4 separate regions of the Mus musculus genome follow, and all the other regions are reported to be linked to region 2. The links are microRNA targets in miRTarBase. Many come from high-throughput screens and were not tested one by one. Region 2 holds a microRNA gene; each other region holds the end of a gene's coding sequence. Distances are from middle to middle.
The links. The annotated mature microRNA mmu-miR-1927 reads GACCUCUGGAUGUUAGGGACUGA and lies in region 2 at 1,852-1,874, opposite strand. An mRNA with a match to its seed (bases 2 to 7 or 8) in the 3' UTR can be bound and repressed. Matches are read on the target gene's strand: a 7mer-m8 pairs with bases 2 to 8, a 7mer-A1 pairs with bases 2 to 7 and ends in A, and an 8mer does both.

Region 1 (4,064 bases), 120 Mb from region 2:
CAGAATTACCACAAGATTCTACCTTGTTCTTCTTTTAAAAAGAGGGTCACAAAAGTGTTTTTGGAGCCCATTATGAAAAGCATTGTCCTTCTGTATGTGCTCCCAGTCTTTTCTTTGGATCTAGCCATTATAAAGAATCTCAGAGTGCATGTTGGTTTGAGACCTGACTGACATTCCAGGAGGATCACCTTTCATCTGAACCTCTTTTTCACAGGTGCTCGTGTGATTGCTACAGACTTACCTGAATTACTTGGAAACCTGCAATATAATATTTCCAGAAACACCAAAATGAAATGCAAGCATCTGCCTCAGGTCAAAGAACTATCCTGGGGAGTAGCATTAGACAGGAATTTCCCCAGGTCTTCCAATAACTTTGACTACATCCTGGCAGCAGATGTTGTCTATGCCCATCCGTTCCTGGAGGAGCTTCTCATGACCTTTGACCATCTCTGCAAAGAAACTACCATTATACTCTGGGCTATGAGATTCAGGCTGGAGAAAGAAAATAAATTTGTAGATAAATTTAAGGAACTGTTTGACCTGGAAGAAATTTCTAGTTTCCCTAGCCTGAATATTAAGTTGTACAAAGCTATGAAGAAAAATCGGAGGAGTGCCTAGTGCATTGTGACTGTGAATGAGGACATGAGTGTGGTGCCAAGGTAGTTTTTAGTAAATCATTACCTTAAAGAACACACACACACACCCTACTGTGAGAGTAAAAAGTAACTCTAAACTTACCTTATTAGAGGCAAGGGTTTTTACATACACACAGTAGGTGTAGGATAAAGATAATTTGTTCTCAAATCTGTCTGTTCAGCCCTCAAATTACATTCAGCAACACCACACTATTCTCATTGCAAAGATGGAAATTTTCAATAATGATATCTCTAACTGAATGTTATTAATTTTATTTCGTTTTGAAAATTATAGCTTAGATTGGCCTTGAACTTGAAATCTTACCTCAGCCTCCTTAAGTGTTAGTACTACAGGTGTGTACTACCACACCCATCCAAGTTGTTAATCCTCTTAAATGTAGGTTTAAATGATTTCTATACTTAAAAGAAATCAATAAAGTGGCTCTAGAGAAAATAAATCTGAAAAGGCAGTTATATGATGTCTATGGTTCCCAACAGTCGAAGTTTAGAGGTGGGCTGCCATATCTGTTTAGCAGTTTGGACCGCTGGCATAACTACTGAATAAACCAACATGTGGAGCTAAGGTTTCAAGCAAGGATATTTTCCTCTAATAGATTTAAAAAATGTGGATGTACAGAGCCCAAGAATACCTCAGATGAAACTGGACTCTGGTGGAGCATGCTTTTAATCTCATAACTTGGGAGGCAGAGGCAGAGGCAGAGGCAGAGGCAGAGGCAGAGGCAGAGGCAGAGGCAGAGGCAGAGGCAGAGGCAGAGGTGGATCTTTGTGAATTTGAGGCTAGCATGGCCTACAAAACAAGTTTCAGAATGGCCAGGGCTACACAAAGAACCCCTGTCAAGAAAAACATATAAATAAAACAAAACAAAAAGAATTCCTGAAATTATTGTGTTTTTGTTTTACAGAAAATGAAATAATTATAAGAACTTTGGGTTGGAAGTGCATAAAAAGATTGAAGTTCCTAATCTCCAATAAGCAATCATGGCTTGTTTTAAGGTTTAAGGCTCTTCTGATAAGCACAGATATACCTAGATATTTGACATCCTCTTAGGCTTCTTTATGTGGCCCTTTGGATTAGAATTAGGTTTAATGCAAGATAAGTCAATGTGGAAAGAGTAAGGAGTTAGGCCTTTATAACATGCTACTGTCTGGATTGTGTTGGTTGGCAACACTTCAGTGTCCTCTGCTAGGCTATCATGTGCACTTGGTGACACTTGCTCCTCTGAAGTTAGCTCTGTCCTCTTGGCTGAACAACATCATGGTCAAACACTTCTATAATCATCTCCTGGATCCCATACTGTAAATTGGAATGCAGATACGCTGCTCTTAGTACATGGAGTTTCTTAGGAACATGTCTCAACAGGTATCTGCTTGAATGGATATTTGGTCTCACATTTATGTAGTGTTCAGCCTGCACAGGACAGTGACATGATTATTCTCACTTCACAGATAAAAAACAAAAGCCTAGGTTACACAGCTGCACAGTGAAATTTAGGACAGTCAAGCCCAGGTTTGAGCACAGTGTCTTCCTTTATAATGCCTTTATGCACTGAAAAAGTAACTTTCAAAGACTCTTAAACAGCTGAGGTCAGTTCTTCCAAAGGAAATAGATACTCAGCAAAAATTAACAAATACATATTAAAAAAAATAAGACATATTTCTTTCTCTTAACACTATCTCCAGACTTTCTACTCATGGTAGGAGACATCAGAGAAGGCTTGGGTAGAAGAAGGTGCACTAGAAGGGATGAGAGTTGTGTTTATCAAGGAGGAACAGCCATGATGGAATCTACAGGCAAAGGCATGCTTATCTACTTGAATAAACATCAAAATAGTGTGGCAAAGGGGGAGACAGAGATATTGATGAGGTCTGAAGAGAGGCTGTAGGAAGTAGATCATGGAAGCCCTGTTCTATGGGCTAGGGTTCCCAAATCCAGGTTCTAGGAGAGAACATGATGCATAATAGTTAGTTAGGTTGTACAAGCATAGGTTACGTTATACGGTCATTGGTTAGAGTGTACGATGATTAGGCTGTGCAGTTGTGATGGAGAATTGAAGAAAATAACAAAGGGCAGTTTCTGCTGACCCATTCATTGCTAGACCTTGAATGGCCTGCTTTGGAGATAATTTTGGTTAAATGCATCCATGTCTGATCCCTGATGTCTAAGTCATATAAGCAAAGAATTTTCTGTACAAACATATGGTACTATTGGTGGGATAGGGTGCATTAAATGACCTTAGAATTGATTCATTCTGGGGTCATATTAACTCTATCATTAAGGGTTCATTGACTGCATTTGGCATTTACTTGGATGGTGTGTAACTGTGTAGTATTTTAAAAGCCAACCATTTACAATTGACTGTTTAGTCTATTGAACTCATCCTTAGCCTGTAACATAAACATTGTTTTCATTGGGTAAACCCAAAAGCAGGGATTCTCTCAATCCATGCCTCAGTCTTCCCAGTTTCTTTGATTCTAAGGCAGTTGTTTTCTATGAAATACAATCAAGCTTCAGATTTAGCACTGATCAAGAAATTTTAAAGAAACAATGAATTTATCAAATTGGCAAATGGATGGATCTGGAGGATACCATCCTGAGTGAGGTAACCCAATCTCAAAAGAACACACATGATATGCACTTACTGATAAGAAGATTTTAGCCCACAAGCTCAGAATACCCAAGATACAATTCACAAAACACATGAAACTCAAGAAGAAGGAAGACCAAAGTGTGGATACTTCGATACTTCTTAGAATTGGGAACAAAATACCCATGGAAGGAGTTACAGAGACAAAGTGTGGAACAGAGACTGAAGGAAAGACCATCCAGAGACTGCCCCACCTGGGGATCCATCCCACATACAATCACAAAACCCAGACACTTTTGTGGATGCAAACAAGTGCTTACTGACAGAAGCCTGTTATAGCTGTCTCCTGAGAGGCTCCATCAGTGCCTGACAAATACAGAGGTGGATTCTCATAGCCTACCATTGGTCTGAGCACAGGGTCCCCAATGAAGAAACTAGAGTGTCCCATGCTGTTTCCTCACCGGCAAGAAAGCGCACGGGACACAAGAATCCTTCTGCAGCCAATCTTTATTGCATATTGATGAAGAAGACAAAGAGCCTCAGAAAGGCGCTGCTTAAATACCCCCTGGTGTGGCGTGTCCAAGCCTGACTGGTTGCTTACCCACGATCTCAAGACACGCCCCGGGGGTGGGCTTGTGACTTTGGCGCGCATTACTCCTGCACATGTGCACACAGTTTGTTCTTTGTTTAGGTGGTATAAGGCACTGCCGAAGCCGGCGCCATCTTGTGATGGCAAATGTTATCTCGGCTCTCCACACTAGAGAAAGTACCCAAGGAGCTGAAGGGGTTAGCAGCCCCATAGGAGGAACAACAATATGAACTA
Region 2 (4,068 bases):
CAGAAAGTACAACACCTGGGGTTCAATCCTCAGCACGACTAAATGAATTAATTAACCTTTACTTCTTATGTGCATAAATGCTGACAGATGTTTGTCATGAATACACAGTAGACCAATAATTACTATTCTTACACGATTCTTTATTGGTTTCCAGTATCCTATATTGTTCACTGGAGTATATATGGTATGTACAGTGCATACCATGCTGGGATGGAGAAAAATGGGAAATAAAACTAAACACAACTCTTGCTCTCGTACAGAGATTAACAATGAAACACACACAAACACACACACAAATGTTATCTGCCAAAGAAACACACAGAAACCACACGAAAAAGGTTTGATTAAGATTTCTCCTAGCCAGTTATAACGTTACAGGAAAAGAAAGGTATCTAAAACTGTTGTTTCGGATGATAGAAATGAGAGAATTCACTATCTGTGAGCTAAGATAGAAAAATAATCTATTCCTCTGAAACTCTAATGGAATTTATCAGCTTTCAGTTATAAATATTGGTAAGAATATACTATATTATTTCTAAGTGGTCACTAATAAGTACTACAAATATTTTAAGTCACTCTGGAAGCAGTGCTTGTATCTCAAAATACTATTTATATTTTTTACTTTTGGCATTGAGGTAGTCATCAGACTTACTAACACATTTTGCTATCTACTATATTAATATATTAATAAAGAATCATATGTCATAATGTCATAAATTTGGCTATTTGCTTTGATCAATGTATTCCAATATCATTAGTTTACTACGTAGCCTTATGTACATCCTATATTTAAAAATATTTTCTTGCTCAAGGTCCACAGGCCTAACCAGACTGCCAAAGAACTCTGTGACTCCACAGCTACTGAGAATCCCTGGACTACAGAACTGGGCCTTGTTGAAAAAACAGCATTGGTTCCTAGAGCTTCATTGGCAAGGCTGCTGTTCATAATTACTTTTGGAAGAGATAAGAAAGAAAGGTGCCAATTCACTGAAAAGTTTCAGGAAAAATGACAGGAAAACTGATGGAACTGGATATGATCATGCTAAATGTAATAAAACAGACATATTTTTCCTCCCTATGCAGAATCTAGATTTATTTTTAAAAAATAGAGCAAAAATGGGGATACGCAGGAGGATGCAAAAGCAAAGGGAATGAATGGGGTGAGGGAGTCTGAGCAAAGTACGATGACATAGGTGCACAAAAATCTCAAAAAAAGATCCACATTCCAGAAGGAATGGGCGTGAAATGTTTATATATTTATAAACATAAATATAATAGGTAGCAAAAACATTTAGTACAAATATCAGTAATATTATTAGGGATAAATTATCATAAACACATAATCTCATTGTAAAAAGCTTTTAAAAATGATTCTAAAAGCAATTTAGAACCTAATTGCACTAACAAGATTTCCATTGCAAGGACTGGGGCCACAGTGCAGTTGGATACTTATCTAAAACGCACAAAGCTCTAGGTTTCTTTCCTAGCTCCTTATAAACTGGCATAGTGCTTCACATAGATAACCTAAGTATTGGCTGTAAGTAAAGGCAGGAGGATCAGGGTTCAAGGTCTTCCTCTGCTACACAATTCACACAATGAATTCAAGGCCATCCAGAACTACATAAAACCCTATCTCCAATTAGAAAAAAAAAATCCCTAGTACACACTAACAGCACAAACCAAAAGGACTTTCCTACTGTTATGTAAATAGCACACATGATTTAGAACAAATTCTCTACTAACTTTTCACATGGATTCAAACAGGTGATATAATACAAATCTAGCTAAAGACTGGAGAGATGGTTCAGCAATTAGGCACACTGGCTGTTCTTGTAGAGAGAGGATGCATGTTCAGTCCCTAACATCCAGAGGTCAGTTCACAGCCACTTGCAACTCTGGTTTCTAGGGATCTGAACCTACATGCACATGGTAAACATACATACGGTCAAGGACACATACACATACACAAAATATATCTTTTCAAAATATATAGTTGAAATGATGGTGATTAGTGTGAAATAGTACGGAAGAATCCATAATTAGGTTTAGTCATGATAGTAATTATAACCCCCAACCCCAAAGTAATATGTTGGTAAATCTGAATTACCATTAGAATTTATTACATTTTCAGTGTGTGTGTGTGTGTGTATGTGTGTATGTGTAGCTCAAGTTTTTATTCTGCTGTATAGAGTTCAGGATTAACTAAACTACTTAAATTATTAAGGAAATAGATATGATTAATCAATCTAGGCATTCCACAACATTTAAATGTATCAAAATATTACATGATACCCAACAAATATGTGCAATTTTTATTGTCAGTTAAAATCATTTAAAATAATTTATTTTAAATATTTACTTATATTTTATATATATGTAAATGTGTGTCTTGGTTACTTTTCTACTGCTATAAAGAGACACCATAACTAAAGCAACTTGTAGAAGAGTTTTTAGGGGCTTGCCTGTAGTTTCAGAGATTTAGAACCCATGACTATCAGGCAGATAGGCATGGTGCTAGAACAGTAGGCGAGAGAGAGCTTCATCCTTATTAGCAAGCAAGAGGCAGAGAGCTAACTGGGAACTGGCTTGGGCTTTTGAAATCTCAAAACCCATACCAATCACACACCTCCTCTAACAAGACCATATCTCCTAATCCTTCCTAAACTGGTCTACCAACCTGGGCTATGTATTCAACTATCTGAGCCTATGGAGGCTATTCTCATTCAAACTACTACAGTGTGTTTGTGAGAGTGTATGTTGAGTTAGCAGGTATCCTCAGAGGCCAGAAAAGGTTAGATGCCCTGGAGCTACAATTTCAAGTAGTTGGGACCTCCCTATAGGACTGGCTGCTAGGAACTGAACTCAGGGTCTCTGGAAAAATAGGAAGTGCTCTTAAGCTACTGAGCCATCTCTCCCACGCCCAAATAGTTTACTTTTTCCAAATAAGTAAATAAATAAATAATTGAGGAATTAAAAACTAAAAGAGGGCTTCTATATTATTTTCATCCTGCTAGAAATCAGTATGTAAACCTTACAATCATCAGGGCTACAGTGTTATTTCTGTTGCTCATTTAGAAGCCCATTTCTAAGGCAGTGTACAGTCCTCACAATGACTTTTAATACTACAGTTTGATACTGAGCTTGAGCTTTGCAGTGAGTTTTTGACATAATACTGGCTTCTCTAATAATATAACCATAATTTTAAATTCCTGTTACCCACACCTAAAATCTGAGTCATTTGATTTTGAAACATAATGTGTCATACAAGAAATAAACCCTTACTACTTCATCTAGTTTATGTAGCTCTGCTGCACAGCCTGACCTCTAACTTCCTCCCCAGTTTCATTTCTTACCACACTGACTCTGATCCTACCATTTAGAGGGCTCTCTCCAGGTCCCCTCCCCCCACTTGAGGTACATTTTCCCAGTTTTCCCATAGCTGTTCACATCTCAGATGGCAGGAGCAGGACCCTTACTGGTACACTACTCCATGTGAAGCCTGGTAAATAGCATCACTAGCTCATGTTTCTGTTTTGTGTTTCTCACTGTAAGACTCACAATAGGTACCACAAATTGCTTTGCACAGGTAGATCTTCTGTGCCAAGAACATAATGCAGTTAGCACACTGTAACAGATCAATGAATATTTGGTTGATGATCAAACTAAATAAAAATGTCAATGGCCAATGCAGAACAATAAAAATCTTAGAGTGTTTTCACCTAGTAGGAGTATAAACACATGAAACAGATTAATAAAAATTAGTGCATTGTGTCAACTATTCCTGTAACAAACGCTTCTATAAAAGGATATTTAGAATTGGTTCATTGTAATAGGAGATAGTCTAGGGCTTCTATGACGTAATTTCCATGAGGTCATCATCCTCAATGGGGTGAGACTTTGTGGTAATAATTGTTTTGAGATCATTCATGCCCCTGCAAGCAGCCCTTTATTCATGTTCCTAACTTTTCAGGACTGTCTATTCCTCACTCCTCTGGAATTTCATAAGGATGTGCACTATGGACCAAATATGGCCCCACCAGTTCTTACGCTGATGCTCTATTCTTAGCA
Region 3 (4,064 bases), not on the chromosome of region 2:
TATTTTCAGAAATGTAAAAAGGTTCAATCTGTAAGAGCAAGGTTTCACAATTAAGACAATTCAGAGAGTAGAGTAGCGATTGCTGCACAAGCAGTCTTTGTGTCTGTCATTTAAGAAGGCTGCCCTTGCAGTGTTCATAATTCATTGTTTACTGCAAAGGTGGTAAGAAATTTAGGCTTTAAAAATGATCCGTGAGTTGATACTTTGGCTCTTTGGAGCTTACGTCGTAAAGAAATTTTCCTTGATTGACCTCAGGATGGTTGGGGCTATGGCGATAGAAAGCTCAATTGCTAAAGACACTGGAGTGGTGTAGGAGGCTGTGGCCATTTCTCACCCTTTGGTATGAAGGTGGGTGCCTATGTGTTGCCCTTCTGTCATCAAGAGAAAGTGCTACTAAGAAAACTTTAAAAAATTATCAACTCTTTTATGCTTGATTTTTTTAAAAATTTGGAGGTATTAAAACATTCCTCATCCATACCTTTTTGCATATTTTAAATAGACCCATATTGGAGATGAGAGTTAAAAATGAATGTGGACTGTATCTGATGAAGAGACAGGTGGGGGCTGGCTTGGCTCCCCCTTTTAATACACACAGATCTACATCCCTACAAGAAATACATTCCTACCATACATTCTGCACCATACCACCAGGATGTTATTAGAGTGCCACAATAAAATAAATATATTTACACAGAAAAAAAAAAAGAATAAATAACTTATGGGGAAAACCATCCCTTTAAGTCTCTCAGGATTCTGCTCTCACCTTGTCACGTCATTGCACGTCATTGTCAACAAGCTTGTCAGGCCCAGGCACCCCAGGCTGTCTGCCTGGCTCGGATGCCACAAGACTGTCTTTGTGAAGGTGAGCCACTACTGCCAGGAAGCGTCTAGAAGCACATTCCCCCACTCAAACTGGGACTGGGAGCTCTCACTCTGGTTCCAAACTCTTCCCTGTTGGGACATGGCTTAGTATAAATAGGACACAAAGACAGTCTTAACTCTTGGTGGGCTTGCTCTTCCTGAAAACAGGGCCATTGGCTTCCCATGGATGTTTCAGGAATTAGCACTCTGCCTGCCGGTGTTGGGGGTGGGTGTTTTGATTTTGAAGCCCAGCCTTACAAATGCACTAGAGTTTGAGAACCAAGTTTGGGCAATGCTTCTCTGTGCTTATTTGAACTGTTGCCCAACATATGGGATTGTTTAAACACATGATTTGCTAATCCAACAAAAGTACAGTTGTTCTAAGTTACTGTAAATCAGTTTTTGACAATGGCAATCAACTGCTTTGTGCCATTTTTGCTGGGAATCATCAACACTACTGTATATGCACATGTATGCAGATGTGTGTGGCATGTGGCCAGTTCACAGGATCCTCCAGTTCTAAAACACACAGAGTACGGGCAGACCTGCTCTCTACAAGACAGACAAGTTCTTAAGATGGACAGGCACAGAGACACTTGCAAGTGTGCATGACAACCTCCCCTACGTGTGGTCCCTGCCCTACAAGAAAGGAGACACACGCGTGAAGGGGCTGGTGAAAGGCTGGAGGTGCCTGTAGGAGCACAGCTGGATCAGCCTCCCGCTGCTCCAGAGCTGACAGTCAGCCTGTCAGACACATTCCAGTGAAGAAAAGGTAAAAAGATATTAATCGCACCATCCACAAATCTTCTGCTTGGATGAGCAGTTCCTTCATCACAAATGCATTTGCTTGCCATGTGCATTATAAAAATAAATCTATTTATGGCTTGTTTTAAAGTGCCATTTATAAAATTTATCTTTTTAATTGGCCAGAAAGGCCCATTTTATCCATGGCAAGAAGTGAGCAGAGTTGGTTGGTGACTGTATATTGACAAATGACCAACAAAGACAACCAAAAACAAAAACAAAATCCCATAATTTAAGTTTTTTTAAATAAATATAAAAGTTATTTCTAAAGAAGCCATATAGGTTGTAACCTGCACTCAACAGCTCAAATACCACACTGCAAGAGCGAGCCATGAAACAGAAAGGCGGTTTCAGCAACAGGCCTGATACACTAAAACAAACGACTGCATCTCATGAGTGCACGTGTTGGGGGGATCACTAAAGAAAGAGCCGCTGGAGGGGCTAGCACATGGGGGTAGGGGAAGGCCAGAGACGTGCATAGAAATTCCTCTCTATGTATTTGGGAATAACAGCTTTGTAAAGTGTAGTTAAATTAGCAGTTAATTAAGGAAAGCAACCAGATTGGACACCATGACATAAGGCGGTGGACTGCGGCTCTAGTCACAGATGTCAGGAGAGCGAGCGAGCGCGTCCCGGCTGGCGGAGGTGCGCAGAGCTAGCTCACTGTGCTGATCAGAAAGATGCCATTTGCAGCTCTTAGCAACAGAGGGAACAAAAGCTCCAGGGAAAGGACATGGGAGAGGCAGCTCAGCAACACGATGGATGCCTTCTGGGGAACTAAGTACTGAAGTGGGGCTCACCTCCAGCAAAAGGTCAGTTGCTTGTTGTAAAATTTTGTTGTGTAAAATTGTGGTCTCGTCATAAAAGCTATGCCAAAAGACAAAGACTGGGGTTTTCATTTCAAAAATTTAAAATAAAAACAATTAAAATAGCAACTTGGCATAAATACAGTTTTGTTTTGTTTTTTATCCCCCTGTTCCCCCTCCCTCCCCACCCCCACCTTGAGACAGGGTTTTCTCACTGTATAGTTCTGGCTGGACTGGAACTCACAAAAATCTGCCTGCCCCTGCCTCCCAAATGCTGGAATTACAGGGGTGTGCCACCACACCCTGCTGAGTCCACTCTTAAATAAGATGATGCAGCCTCTGTTCAAAAGAGGGAGCTAAGGAGCCTGCCACATCAACTCCGCCCTCCCTACCCCAAGAAACACAGCCATCTCCCCGCCAACTGCTTAATGCATGTTTGATGAGCAGACAGGGCTCTGGCTTTGGAAGTCACAGTGCTGGCGGGTGACCGTGCCAGGGGCTGGTGCTTGTGAAATTTGGGTGTCAGATCACCTGGCCCTTTATGAAAGCGCTGTGTGTATTTGCAGTGGGGACATCAACTGCAGACTGACGTGATCCAGTTCTCTCTTGCACCACACACATATAAAACATTACAAGTCCTATAAAAGTACAAGTGCAACTTGTACATCTCATGTTTGCAGGAACTATGTGAGCAAATCCTATCAAAATAGCTATTTCATAGGTATAAACAGCATTTGTGTTTAGAAAAACAATATCATAAACTGCAGAATCTGTACAAAAATATAAAATAAATTTGGGCAGCAGTTTTCTAAACAGCCATGTAAATGCAACACTTACGAGTAGTTAATGCCTCTAAAAAGGCTGAATTGCCAAGTCAACTTACACAGGGCAAAACGCCAGAAAAGGTACTGAGATTATCCAAATAATATAGATATATATTCTTTTTTTTTTTTACCTCTTGCAATAAAACTTATAGAAAAAATAGACAAATATGCACATGCAATTTACAGCTTTTCCAACTTAATCCTTGTGCTTCACTTGAACTGTTCCTGTTCACCTTTCAACATTAGCAACACAGTCTTCAAATGTCTTCTCTCCTACGCCAGGGCAGCAGGGCTCTGAGGAACCCACTCAGAAGAGTGTGTTACAAGTGGGCATACTCGAATGAAGGCACTCCAACTCTGCTTGAAGAAAATACTAGTGTGATCCTTTTGTAAAATTTTCTTTTTCTCTGAAAAAGGCAAGCAAGGGTCCATGCACAGTGCGGAGAAACTGTCGGGGCTGCAAGGGTGCAGAGCCTGGCTGGGCGCAGTCACGTGGGCCCAGGTCTCAGGAGCCAACAAGCACCTCCATGATGTGGTCCAGCTCCGTGAGATCCATTTTGAAAGGCTGACTTGGGGCAACAGGCTGATTGCTGTAAGGAGCCAGGGTCTTGAGGAGGTCATCAGCTGACACAGGGGCCATCTTTGAGGCTGTCCCCGATGCAGATGTGCAGGGGTCAAAATCGTACATGGATGTATCAATGTCAGCAAACAAGATGTCATCCAGGGTCAAGTCTGTCAGGAAACCCGTGGACGTTGTTATTTCAAAATT
Region 4 (4,064 bases), not on the chromosome of region 2:
ACTTCCCTCACCGCCATGAAGTAAAGAGCTGTTTGCGCTTATGTCTACACAGTCTCGGCTCCCACTTCCTCCTCCCCTCTGCTTCTGTGCTCATCTCCTCTGAAACCACTGCAGCAAGTGACTTGTGTTGACTGCCACACGGAAACTCTCCTCAGTAGCAGGCAGCAGAGCAGAGCTCTGTCTTCTCGGAGCTTCTTCTCTCTTGTCGCCATTTTCTCCCACCCTTAAGTACCCTATCTTCTCTGTCTCTGCTTGTTGATCCTTGGACCCTTTTCCTTTCTATGAACAAAATATCTCCTTAAAGGATCTCTTCTAGTTCAGGGTCCCCCCGCCCCCACTGTGGAGAAAACCCAGGGCCTTGCACATGCTCAGCAGGAGCTCCATCCAGTCTCTAGCTCCATGACTTAAAGCATCTCTGTGCTGTCAAATATACACTTCCAGCCCTTACCAAAATATTCAGTCAACTCCTTGCCATTCAAAATGGATGACCTCAAAGCCAGAGTCAGCGGTGCTATGACTCCCAGATCCATCCACTTGGTAGCCCAGGAATGAACTCATGGGACACTTCCAACAGCAAGACTGGATGCTACTAATTAGCTCAAGTGACAGAAATAACTCTAATTTTTCCCAGGCAAAATGGGGCGTGTGATTGTCCTGTATCAGAGGGACATTGCCATTATAACATGTTTAAAGAGCAAATCTCCCAACCACCCTACAATTGTTCTGCTTCCTGGCTCGGTCAAAGGCACCACCCCTACCCATTTCTCACAGGAACTTGGAAATTAAAAGGACAAATGCCATCATCCTTGAGTCTGTCGTTCTCTTATCCCCTGTGGTCTAGCCGCAAATTCTATGACTTTGATCTGCACCCTGGGTAGGCAAACTAACCAGCCTTCTTTTTTTTTTTTTTTTTTTTTCGTTTTTGTTTTTATTTTTGTTTTTTGAGACAGGGTTTCTCTGTATAGCCCTGGCTGTCCTGGAACTCACTTTGTAGACCAGGCTGGCCTCGAACTCAGAAATTCGCCTGCCTCTGCCTCCCAAATGCTGGGATTAAAGGCGTGTGCCACCGCCGCCCGGCCATACTTAGACATAATTAAAACTAAAATTAAAATCTTTTAAAAAAAAAGTCAGGGAATGCCTGGCAGCGGTGGCACACGTCTTTGATCCTAGCACTTGGGAGGCAGAGGCAGGTGGATCTCTGTGAGTTCAAGAGCAGCCTGGTGTACAAAGGAGGTCCAAGACAGCTAGGGTTACACAGAGAAACCCTGTCTACAAAAAAACAAAAGGAAAAGGAAAGAAGGAAGGAAGGAAGGAAGGAAGGAAGGAAGGAAGGAAGGAAGGAAGGAAGGGAGGGAGGGACGGAGGGAGGGAGGGAGGGAGGGAAGGGAGGGAGGGAGGGGGAGGAAGGGAAGGGAGGAGAGAGTGAGTGAGTGAGTGAGTGGAGAAAAGATGGCTCATCAGTTAAGAGCACTTGCTGCTCTCTCAGTGACCCAGGTTCGGTTCCCAGCACCCATATGGTATACCAGAAATCTGCAACCCCAGTTTCAGATACTCTGACGCCCTCTTCTGGTCTCCATAGCCATTGAACACGTATGACACACAAACATACATTCAGATAAAATACTTATACACACAAAATAAAAGTAGATAGCAGACCTCTTTTCTCTTTGTGTGGTCCTAGAGCTGCAGGTCCTGTACTCAGCTACTGATTCCTCCTCCTCCCTCCTCCTTCCTCCCTCCTCCCCAGCCTCATGCTCTGCTCATCTTGGACTTCTGCGCATGTCCTCAGCCCAGACCTTCTGCTCTTGCTTCTCCTCTCCCCAGCAGCCCCCCAGTTCTCTTCCTGAAACTTCTGAGGTACTCTCCATCACCTCCTTTGGCTCCTGCTCTGATTGGTGTCACCTGCTGGATAGGCTTGCTCCTGACTCCACTGTTCGTGTCTCAATTAGGGACCCTCACCCTCTGATATACCACACATTTCCCTAGTGTCTCCACCTCCCACCCCCACCCTATACGCACATACACACTTAGCTGCATCAGGATCCTACACCAGGGACTTCTTACCCTTCTAATCCTCCCCACCGGACACTGCCCAGGGACACTGGGGCTCCAGAGGGCTATTGCCACACGGACACACAGGAGATCTCATCAAGGAGATGTGCCTACCCCAGAGGGTAGCTCTCACCATTCACAAGCACACCACTTCTGCCTCCAGCTTCTACTCTCTCGCAGGAAGTAGCCAGCCCGGTGCCAAGTATCCCCAACTACATCCCCAAAATTCTCAGACACTGCCAGCCTCCAGCTGTCAGCCTGGCCCCGGCTGGCGGGCGCCTGCTCCTGGCATAGCGACTAGGGTGTAATTAGAAACCCGCTAGCTCCCTAATTGCCAGTTCTGAGCTGTCCTTGTTACCGGCTGCCCGAGGCACACATAGAGGAAAAGGCTGAGAGCTGAGCCAGGCTGGCATGGAGGTAGCCCTAGTAGACCTAGAGAGGACTGGCATGTGGCCAGGGACCAAACGTGGCACAGAGAGGGCTCAGTGCAATCTGCCCCGTGGGTGCCTCCCAGCCACATCCATTTGCCCAGAACTGTGACGTCAAACCAGCCCGGCCCATTCATTCTTTATTCAGGTGGCATAAAAATCACTACAAAAACTTTACAAAAGAGTCTTGGGAGCTAAAGGGTCCCTTCCTTGCCTCAGTCCCCAAGATTCCTGGCAGGGGAGGACAAGAGAGAGAAGAAGGAGGAAGACTCCTGGCAGTGTTGGCATCTCCAAATACCAGAGGGGTGACTTGGGTGACAGGACACAGGTTGGGGACCTGAATGTCTTCAGCAAGGGACACTCTTGTAGGGTAGGTCAGCCTCCAACCATGAAGTATAACACCAAGGCCAGTCTAAGCTTGGGAGACCAACACTTGTCTCTCCTTTTCCCACCCAGGGTGTCTGGAATATGTCTAAAGATGGCCTCTCCAGCCTCTGCTTACAAATGTGGAGGGACCCTAAGTTAGGGACTTGCCTAACCTACCTCTAGCCAAAACTGTGTCCACAAGTGCCAGCCCACAAAAGATCACCCCCTGAGCCCCTTGGGAAGAAATGAAGATTCCCCATGCCTGCCTTCCTCCAGGCCCCACCCCACCTGCTGCAAGAGAACAGCTTCTACACTGGTGATGGTCCTTCCGGTCCCACCCTATCCCACAAAGCTGGTTAGAAAGAGTCACAGGAGCTGAGAGGCTGATCCAGGTGGGGACTCAGGATGCTGCTGCCCAGGGCCCCTCCTCACTTGGGGGAGCTGAACTGGGGGTAGTCTTCCTCCATGCGGGGTGCAAGTTTCAAGTCAGGACCAAAGGTCTTGCCTCCATGGAAGTCAGCTTTGTCATTCTGGCCTATGAGCCTGTTGTCAGGGGAATCTCGCTGTTCCTGGAGCTGGGGCAGCGCGCTGGGGTTAGGGTTCCTCACACTGCCCACAAAGAGGGGCACGCCTATGGTGTCCTCCATGATGAAGAAGAGGAAGGGTCGGTTCACAGTGAAGGAGGAGAGGGACATTCGATTCATGGCTACGCTGGTAGCTGCGGCTGCCTCCACACCAGCCTCGCTGAGCTCCATGGTAGACTGATGTTGCACGCTAGACACCACCAGATTCTGCTCAGAGATCCCACGAAGGTCTGGGCCCTGGAACAATTCCTGCAGGCCTGCCCAGAACAGCAGATGACTGGTCAGTGCTGCCCCAAGGCTATGTGGATCTGTCTAGCATCCTGGCTAAAGGGAACACTTGAACCCAGCGGTTGATTGGAATCTGTTAGACCTCAGTCTAGACAACACTTCTAGAAACCTTTTTTTTTTTTTTTTTTTTTTTTTAAATCAGGATCTGCGCTAGGTACAGGACAGAAAGTCTAGAGGAGCATATCAAATGCTCCCATCCAGGAAGCAGGGCCACCTCTGGCTCAGGCACACTGGCAGCTCCCGTACTCTGCCCAGACCACCTAGGGGCACCCTATCCCCAAGCTCCTTACCCAGTTGGCTGAGGGTGGCCACCAGGTCCAGCTGCTGTTGCAGATGGAGTTTAGGC

Region 1: miRTarBase lists Mettl21e as a target of mmu-miR-1927. Seed matches in the 3' UTR shown: 7mer-m8 at 1,407-1,413.
Region 3: the mRNA of Sertad2 is a reported target of mmu-miR-1927. Seed matches in the 3' UTR shown: 7mer-A1 at 3,424-3,430.
Region 4: miRTarBase lists Serpinf2 as a target of mmu-miR-1927. Seed matches in the 3' UTR shown: 7mer-A1 at 3,021-3,027.

Annotation. Positions count from the first base shown.
Region 1 is chr1:44,202,904-44,206,967 of GRCm38, reverse strand. It overlaps Mettl21e (methyltransferase like 21E), which reads left to right. Exons shown (of 5, transcript NM_207281.3): 5 at 215-2,898. The coding sequence ends at 618. Among named protein-coding and RNA genes, the nearest start is that of Mettl21e, 14 kb to the left of the region's middle.
Region 2 is chr1:160,294,034-160,298,101 of GRCm38, forward strand. It overlaps Mir1927 (microRNA 1927), which reads right to left and starts at 1,939; the gene lies at 1,831-1,939. All of the region lies in intron 19 of Rabgap1l (RAB GTPase activating protein 1-like), which reads right to left.
Region 3 is chr11:20,648,472-20,652,535 of GRCm38, reverse strand. Sertad2 (SERTA domain containing 2) reads right to left here. Exons shown (of 2, transcript NM_001038625.1): 2 at 1-4,064. The coding sequence ends at 3,801. Among named protein-coding and RNA genes, the nearest start is that of Sertad2, 19 kb to the right of the region's middle.
Region 4 is chr11:75,429,129-75,433,192 of GRCm38, forward strand. Serpinf2 (serine (or cysteine) peptidase inhibitor, clade F, member 2) reads right to left here. Exons shown (of 10, transcript NM_008878.2): 9 at 4,009-4,064; 10 at 2,608-3,687. The coding sequence ends at 3,275. Among named protein-coding and RNA genes, the nearest start is that of Gm35391, 6.9 kb to the right of the region's middle.